Linked DNA regions of Cricetulus griseus. The protein of the gene in region 1 binds, or shares a complex with, the protein of each later gene. Links are inferred from orthologs where the notes say so. Each region holds a gene or a part of one and is shown on either strand. Other genes may lie near its edges. The genes, in order: CUNH19orf57 and Hsf2bp.

Region 1 (4,314 bases):
CCAAATCTCTAAAAGTAAACTGTTTCTTGGGGAGACTAGGAGACTGAGACACATGTACCATGTTTAGGCCCTTTAACTTGGCGCATGGCTCGACAGCTGACAACCTGCCTAGGCTGTACCAGAGTGAGGCTGGTTGATGCATTCATCAATAATGTGCTAACCCTAACCCTACCATGTGTAAAGCCCTGGGTTCCATCCCCAGCATAGCAAGGAAAAAAATTTAAAAATGAAAGCCCTGACAACAACGTCTAAATTAAAAATGGATCTTTTCTGTAGCCCTGTCCTCCTGTTTTGGCTAATGACCAGTAGAATATGATGAGTTACATGAAATTACCCTTTCTGTGGGTCCAAATTGGTCAAATACTAGCAATTATGCATGGCTTTACCTACTGGGAATAATAATTGCACACTATGTTCTAGCATTTTTCATAAACAATCTCAATAAGTCTTTGCAACTGTCCTGCCATTTAGGGACTCTTCCAGGCCTCCATTCCACAGGTGGGAAAACTGAGGTTCAGAGCTACAAATACATCTGTCAAATGTACCAAGGGCAGGAGGGAACCTGTAGTCAGGAAGACTCAGACCTGAGCCTGAGCTAGGCCCTAGGCTCCCTGGTTCAAAGCTGAGACAAATCAAACTCCCACAGGCTCTGGATTTGGGAGTGTGGCTCTGGGCCACAGTCTTGTACACCTCTGAACTGACATTTCTGTCTGGCCAGGCTGTTCGATCTTATGACCTTGGTTAAAGGTCTTCGTCTCCCTGAGCCTCAGTGTCCTCATCAATACAATGGGAGTAAAGAGTGTGGCCTGGCCCAGTTGATGCAAAGGCTGGAAAAGCTGGTCTGATGGCTGCCTCTGCTCGGCTGGAACTGCTGCAGCAACAGGTGTTACCCAAAACCTGGGTGGGGAGCCAGAAGCTGCATGGCTCAGGCCAGTAGGCCCTACAGTCGGAGCAAGCCTCACCTGGGGGGCGGGGACTTGGGTTCACTTGTTAGCGAGGATCAGGCTTTTCTGGGGGTAGGGCACGCCCCTCGAGTGTGAGGAAGGGTGGGGACAGACCCTGAGGAAGGGTGCGGAGAGACCCCTAGGTGGGCAGAGTGGCGCACACTCACCTGGCGGGCGGTGACAGCGCCTCGGCCCGGGGGTGCCGGGGGTCCATTCCTCTTGTGCATCTTCCAGGGTCGAAGCCTGGACTATCAGCCCTGGCACCTTGGTCTTACTCTGCCTCTTCCCCGAAGCCGGGTTTCTGAGCTCGCTGTGCTCCTGAGCCCCGAGTCCCTCCTCCGTGCCCGGCCCCCGGAATTTTCGAGTTTTGGCCACCCTGCTTCCGCCTTGGCCTTCGGGAGCGCGGCCACAGGATTCGCGGGATCTCTAACTAAACTACAACTCCCTGCAGCCAGTGCGTGAACGCGCATGCGCTTGACATGAGGCGGCGCGGGGAGGAGGCGAAGCATGCGTAAGGCGCGGCACCGGTACTGCGCTGCGTGGGGCGGAGCCTCGCGGGCGGGAAAGGGGTAGGGGTTGCAGGTGTGAGGGCGCGGCGGAGTGACAGCTAGAGGGTCGTGGCGCCTCACGCTTTGTGGAGGTGTGGGGGTGTTACTGCTGTCGCTCACTGTGAGGCAGGTCGCCAGGAGTGTCGGGTCCACGGTGCCAGGCCTCAGGCCCTCGCGTCCCCAGCACCAGTCGGCCACGCGGTCCCATGACTGCCGATGTGGTCATTTTCTCAAAACCTCACACAAGTAATTTAGGAGATTTATTCCCCATCGGATCCCAGCTGACCTCGTCCCTACTAAGGACAGAGCGACTTCCATCTCTGCTGTGGCCCAGGTTGGTTCTGGCTTGCCTGGTTCCACAGCCCGAAGACATTGGCCAGAAGCGACTCCTGCCCCGGGTGGCCCTGCTAAAGCCTTCTGTGACTTTGGTGGGTCTCCAGTGGCCTCTCAAAAGCCTCCAAGTACCCCACATCCCATATACATGAGCTTTGGCGGGCACCATGGGGGTGGGGGTGAAGCATAGTTGTCTCCAACCCAGAGACTAGAGTAAGGATCCTGAGGAGAACCAAAGATAGTTCCTTCACACAGGGAAGGGGTGTGAATTCCTACCCCGCCGTGGCCCTAGATGACTATGATCTGGCATCCCACCCAGTGTCCTCTTGGAGACTAGCTGACTCCCCCATCAGGCTGCCAGATGGGCCCAGTGGAAGAGGGAAACATGGGGACATACAGTGCTGGCGATAGCTGGAGAGTTTGTTTGTTGTTTTCAGATTTCTCAGGGAAAGATAAAATGAATAAGAAGAAGCAGCAGCGGGACTCAGGTATTTGGTTTGTTAAAATTAGCTTTTTTATTATTATTATTGTCTTATTTGCTTTTTTTTTTTGGCACAGCTTTCTTTGTGTAGCCCCCTGGAACTGGCTCTGTAGACCAGGTTGGCCTAATATTCACAGAGATCCTCTTGCCTTTACTTTCACTGTCTGGTGTGCCACTACCATCTGGCTTCAAATTGGCTTTTTAATATTCACTTATTTATTTGAGGTACCGGGCCTGGAACACTGGGTCTCCTGCATGGTAAGTACTCCACCATGAAACTACATCTCCATCCAAAGTTGACCATTTATTTTTGTGGTTGGTATGTGTTTTTGAAATGGGAGTGTATTTTTGCCATGCATGCTGACTAGTTTTATGTCGGTTGGACACAAGCTAGAGTCATTTGGGAAAAGGGACTCTCAATTGAAAAAATGCTTCCAAAAAGTTTTCTTGATTAATGATGGATGTGGGTTGGCCCTCCTCACTGGGGGCGTGCTGCTTGGGGGCAAGTCCTGAGTTATTTAAGAAAGCCAGCAGGTAACTTTCCTCTATAGCCAGTGCTTCAGTTCCTGCCTCCAAGTTCTAGCCCTGACTCCCTTGGACTATGATGTAAAAGTGTAAGTGAAATAAACCCTTTCTTCCTCGACTTTGCTTTTGGTCATAATGTTTTATCACAGTGATAGAAATCCTGACATCATGTAGCCCAGGCTGGCTTTGAATTTGTTATCTATCTTGCTGCCTCAGCTTTCCAAGTGCTGAGATGATAGGCCTGTTCACCAAGCTCAGGTGTTCTGATGTTTTACAAATACACAGGATCTCACTATGGGGTTACAAAGGTGGCTCAGTAAAATGCTTGCCAAACAAGCATGAGGACCTGAGCCAATCTCTAGACTCATCTTTAAAAGGCCAGAGGCATGGTGACCCATGCTTGCAATCTCAGTGACTTGCTGGCCAACTAGTCTAGCCAGGCAAGTTCCATGTCAGTGAGAGACCTTCATAAAACAAGGTGGAAGCTGAGGATATGGCTCAGTGATTAAAGAGCTTGCTGTGTGAGCAAGAAGACCTGAGTTTGGATTCCGAACACTCACATAAAAGCTGGATGTAATGTGCATATCTATAACCCCAGCGCTAGAGGGGAAGTGGAGACAACTAATCTAGATACAACGGGGAACTCTAGGTTCAGTGAGAAATATTATTGCAAAAAATAAGATGTAGGGCTGGAGAGATGGCTCAGAAGTTAATATCACTAGCTGCTTTTCCAGAGGTCCCAAGTTCAATTGCCAGAACCCACATGGAAGCTCACAGCCAATTGTATGTTACTCCAGGTCCACACCCTCTCCCAGCTTCCAAGAGCATGCATGTGGCACATAGACATACATGCATGCAAAATACCCAAATAAGCAAAATTTTAAAATTTTAGAAGATACAGATAAAGGAAGATGCCTAGTATTGACATCTGACGTCCACATACTCACTCACACTCAGGCAAGAGCACTGGCTTACACATGCAGGTGAACACATACACATACACCAAGGAAAAAGGCTCTTGAAGAATGACCAGTGGCATTGTGTTCTGACCTGTACACCTGTACTCCCTCCCACACACTATCTGGCTAAGTCTGGCCCTGACCTCTGGGCTCAGGTGACTCTCCTACCTTAGCTTCCCAAGTAGCTGGAACCACTCACCCAGCTCTCAGTAGCACTTAATTGTTGGTTTTCACCAGAATGATAATATGACAGCCCAAAACTAAAAGATAGGGAAATTTTAGTACAGGCTAGTAATTAACAGAAATTATGGAGGATTTATAGTAAAAAGTGGAAGTTTCCCACTATTTCCCCTAGCCACTGGTCTTAAGGCTAGGGGACCAGGAGTTCTTTCCCACTTCAGGGTTCAGGACAGAAGTATAGCCAGCTCAGGGGCTAATGCCAGATCAGCTGGTGTGTGACTATTTCTAGTCTAGATTTTTAAAAATCGGGTTGGGCTAGGCATCGGTGGTGGTGTATACCTTTA
Region 2 (4,416 bases), on another chromosome or scaffold:
TGAAGAAAAGAGTCCATGGCAATGTGGTGTGTCTGTGTGGTGAAAAAAGTAAGTATGAGCCCTAGGGGAGGATTAGCAGGAAAGAGTAGGTATTTTGGGGGAGCAGGAGTGGATCCCATTTTTGACACTGGGACAGCCAGGTTAGTACCAGGCTAGGAGCACTAATCTGAGGGGAGGGTAGCAAAAGTCCACCTGGGCTACCATGTTAGGTTTAGGAACTACCAGCACAAGTATTAAGGAAACTTGTAAACCTGAGAGTAAACCGAATTTCCTGGGGCAATCCTTAACAGAAACATTATGGGGGTGGGGAGGGATTGCAGCTGCCAAGTCGGCTCAGTAGATAATAGCATTTGGTTCATAAGCCTGTCTACCTGAATCTGACCTCTGGATTCCAGGGTGGAACGGCACACATGTAATAATTAAAAAAAAAATTATTTTAGTTTTTATTCCTCTATCAGACTTCCCACAAAAGGTTCTCTCTTCCTTTTTTAGAGATAAGATCTTACTTGTCCTGTGGCCATGTCTGCCTTCAGCCTCCCAAGTGCAGGAATTAATGGTGTGAGCTACCACATGGGGCAGATTTCAATTAAAGAAAACTTTCTTAGATTTGTTTTAGGTGTATGTGCACCACGTGCATGCCTGGTGTCAGCAGAGGTCAGAAGGGGGCGACTCCTCTCCACTGGTTGTGAGCTGCCATGTGGGTACTGGGACTCAAACCGCTGAGCCATTTTTCCAGTTCCCCATATTTCAATTTTAAGCAGATGTCTGGCTGCAACCTGAAACCTCCACAGCACGCTGCAGTCCAGACTCTGGATCGCTTAAGTAAAAATCTTGCAAAGCACTCCACGGCAGTTTAAAATCCAAAGGAGAAAGCCAGTGATCTGGTCACATTGCCTCCAGGCTCAACTTCATCTCAACACGCCCCGCGCGCCAACTTTTGGGTTTCTCTGGCCTAGGGCACCCTTAGCTCTTTCCTGCGTCTGCCTGGCTGGCTTCCTCCTTTCAAAGCCTCACAGTGCACAAGAGGCTTCCTTTGGAGAGACTTTCTCCTGCACTTTTCCACACTACTGGCATAACACACATCCTCCACCGCCACAGGTCCTGCCACCACACTGCCAGAGTTCCTCCGGGGCTGGAACACAGCCTCAACTCTCTCCCGCACACCAGCGCCTGCAGGCGCTGTGCAAGGGAAGCAAACGAGAAACGCAACCGGGCCTCGGCGAGCTGGGCTAGTGCTGAGCTTGGACCCGGAGCTCCCGCCGCAGCAGCCGCACAGCCCGCGGCAGCCGCACCCGCACCCACAGGCGCGACCCTCGCCGAGCGCAGCGACGCGGACCCCGGCCCGCACCTGTGTCGCTCTGCGTCCTCGCGCTGAGATACTGCCGCAGCTTCCTCACTGCGCGGTCGCGGACACCCTTCTCGCTGGAGGCCAGCCGCTGGGCGAACTGGAGCTCGGCCGACTGCATGGCGGGAGCCATCGCGCCCGCTCCAGCATCCCCGGGGGCCGCGCGCGTGCGGCTCGCCCGCCGAGCAGGCTGTATACTGCGCCTGCGCACGGGCCGCGGCGCGCGGGGTGATGGCGTCAGAGGCGCGCCCGCTGTGCCGCGCCCGGCGAGCCCGCGTGGCCGTGGCGCGAGTAGACGCTGCCGCCGCGTCCTGCCTAAGTACGTCCTGGGGGGGCGGTGGGTGGTCCGAGTTCAGTGCGGTTGGCGTCGGGGTTAGCTGGGGTCGGATTTCCTCCAGGAAGACGCCTACGGCTGGATTGACGCGGTCTCGAGTCTAAGCGCAGCTGACAAGGCTGGGTCCGGGGGGGAAACGGCGCTGCAACGGCCCCCGCTCACCCGGTGTCTGCAGAACTCGGCGGGCTCTCCTGGGTGGAAGTGAGACCCAGAGGAAAGGGCGTCATCCAGGCTGCCCGGGTCTGATGACTACCCGGGGCCGCGCTCCCCCGCCTCCACTTCCCCTCAGCGTAATGCCTGGATGCAGGCGCAGCGTTGGTTAGAGCGAATGGTCGCCTCCCGTCGGTGCCCGCGACAGACAGGGGCAGGGGTGGCGAGGAGACCTTGCCGTGTTCTGGGACAGGTGCGGGGCTTGGCGAGGAAGAACAGCCCATCCCTGCAGCATCAAGGGCACATACAGGGGTGTGGCGTGGAGACAGCGATCCATTCCTGGGACAGTTCAGGGGGTATGGAGTGGCAAGAGAGCAAAGCGTCTTGGGGCAATTGCAGGCTTGTTAAATGGGGAGTTGCCAAAATCCAAAGCCAGAGCGTCTGGGTTAGGTGCAGGGATGTCCCCCCTCGCCCCCCCACACACAATAGAGGGGAATGACCTGTCCTGGCAGCAAGCAGGGGGAAGATTTGGGAATCTAACGGGCCCGGAGGGAACTTGACTCTGTCCTTAAGTCATGCAAAACACACAGTTCTGAGCCGTGGTGTCTTGGGGTCTCTATTGCTACAGTGAAACACCATGACTAAAATGCAAGTTGCAGAGGAAAGGGTTTATTTGGCTTACACTTCCATATTATTGTTCATCGAAGGAAGTCAGGACAAGAACTCAAACAAGGCAGGAAACTGGAGGTAGGAGCTGATGTAGAGGGCATGGAAGGGGTGCTGCGTACTGGATTGCTCACCATGGTTTGGCTAGCCTGCAGGACCACCAGTCCAGGGATAGGACCACCCACAATAGGCTGGGTCCTCCCCCATCAATCACTAATTAAGAAAATGCCTTATAGCCCGCTGGTGATGGCAGATGCAGGAGGATCTCTGTGAGTCCGAGGCCAGCCTGCTCTACAGAGTGAGTTCAAGGAGAGCCAGGGCTACACAGAGAAATCCTGTTTTGAAAACAACAACAACAAAATCCCTTACAGGTCTGCCTACAGCCTGATTTTATGGAGACATTTTCTTAATTTCTTATTATTTTTTTAATTTGTTTTTTCAAGACAGGATCTATCTGTGTAGCCCTGGATGTCCTGGAACTTTCTCTGTAGACCAGGCTGGCCTCGAACCTGGAGACCCACCTGCCTCTGCCTCCCAAGTGCTGGGAGACATATTCTTAATTGAGGGTCCCTCCTCTCAGATGACGTTAGCTTGTGTCAAGTGGACATAAAACCACTCAGCACAAGTGGGAACATACTAATCCCACAAGAAACAAGTCTTAACAATTGTGCTAACTTTAGGGACACCAAAGCCCTAGGTTATCAAACATACTCTGTGGATTCATTAGCACGTTGGGGGAATTATTAGATTAGGATATCCTTCCAAACTTTGGTTATTTAATTTGGATTTCCCTCCATGTAGCCCAGGCTAGACTCTCCCTTGCTATGTAGCAAGGCTGGTCTTGAACTCCTTCCACACCCAAGTGCTGGAATTACAGGCGTGTTCCACTACACCCAGATTCAAACTTTGGTTATTGCATACTTCATTTACCTGGCCTTATGGATACGAAAACGTATCCCTCAACACAGAAGCGCTCTGGGCCAAGGGAGGATGTTCTGCGTCGTTTCTCATAAAGAGGGTGTGGATTTGGCTGTAGCATGCTCCCTTTAAACAGGAAAGGACAGATTCTGCTTATTTTGACACCCTGGCCCCATTTTGCAGGTGACGAAATTAAAACAACTGAAGCAGAAGAGCTGCAGCAGAGTCGGGTCAATCTTATGTTTGGACCCAGAGCTCCGGAGAGTACAGCGCAAGCTTGGCGATATTTGAACCTCGCGGCTTCCCGTCTGGTCCCAGCATCTTCCAGTTCCCGCGCTTTCTGACCACTCAGTGAGCTCCACGCAGGCGCACGAAGCAGCGGCCGGCCGCAACCATGGCCACAACCCGGGGCGAGGCGGCTGCACTAGGCGAGGGATCCGGTACTGAGGAGGCCTTCCGGGTCAGTGAGATGGTCCGGTGTCTTGCACATGGGAGCTGCTGACTCTCGCTCCCCTCAGCGCGGGTCCAGAGCCTGAGGAGACGCCCCCGTGGCTGTGAGGTGGCCCAGGGCGGGAGACTCGAGGCCCCGCGGAGCCTGAGCCCTCTGAAGGCCCTCGGTCAAGTTGAAAAGTGGTGGCCTAGGTCTCAGACAGTGAGGGTTTTGGGGGAACCAGAGCCGTGAGTGAGCTCAGTCATCCGGGTTCTGCCCTTGGGCCTCCTCGAGGCCTACTTCCGGTGTGACGCCATTGGTGAATGTTAGGGGTTGCCCGGAGCCCCCCACAGGGTCTCTTCCTGGAGCCCTTCAGCCTTGGGCACATTAAATTGCAGGCGTTTTCTTTGGCTTTTAGGCTCAGCTGTGCGGCTTTTATTGCCCCTTAAGTATTTACACTCCCTCTAACGCTGGCTGTGTTCCTACCGAGTCAGAGCCTTGGCACGCTGCTCACGGCTGGCTTCCAACTCCTGGGGAAAGTCATCTTTCAGCCTCAGTTTCTTGAAAAGCTAG

Evidence for each region.
Region 2: the proteins of CUNH19orf57 (region 1) and Hsf2bp are in contact, whole or in part, in a crystal structure (PDB 7Z8Z), measured with the Mus musculus proteins. The link is inferred for Cricetulus griseus from reciprocal best matches to the Homo sapiens genes BRME1 and HSF2BP. Residues at the interface, in NP_083321.2 of Mus musculus: Met541, Gln542, Asp543, Ala544, Thr545, Val548, Arg549, Leu551, Val552, Leu555, Ser556, Asn559, Ile562, Met563, Thr565, His566, Leu569, Lys573; in NP_083178.1 of Mus musculus: Glu23, Phe24, Val25, Lys26, Val27, Arg28, Asp31, Leu32, Arg34, Leu35, Glu38, Val39, Gln41, Ile42, Phe45, Leu46, Arg48, Ile49, Glu53, Leu54.

The regions. Positions count from the first base shown.
Region 1 is NC_048596.1:160,269,955-160,274,268, reverse strand, and holds the start of CUNH19orf57 (uncharacterized protein C19orf57 homolog), read left to right. Parts: upstream 1-1,489; 5' UTR 1,490-2,186; coding exon 2,187-2,313; intron 2,314-2,531; coding exon 2,532-2,564; intron 2,565-4,314. Other genes in the region: Cc2d1a (coiled-coil and C2 domain-containing protein 1A), read right to left, coding at 1,112-1,171. UniProt on the Homo sapiens protein: Meiotic recombination factor component of recombination bridges involved in meiotic double-strand break repair.
Region 2 is NW_023276806.1:260,329,428-260,333,843, reverse strand, and holds the start of Hsf2bp (heat shock factor 2-binding protein), read left to right. Parts: upstream 1-1,553; 5' UTR 1,554-1,664; intron 1,665-1,692; exon of another isoform or gene 1,693-2,185; intron 2,186-3,596; 5' UTR 3,597-3,807; coding exon 3,808-3,873; intron 3,874-4,416. Other genes in the region: Rrp1b (ribosomal RNA processing protein 1 homolog B), read right to left, coding at 1,349-1,478. UniProt on the Homo sapiens protein: Meiotic recombination factor component of recombination bridges involved in meiotic double-strand break repair.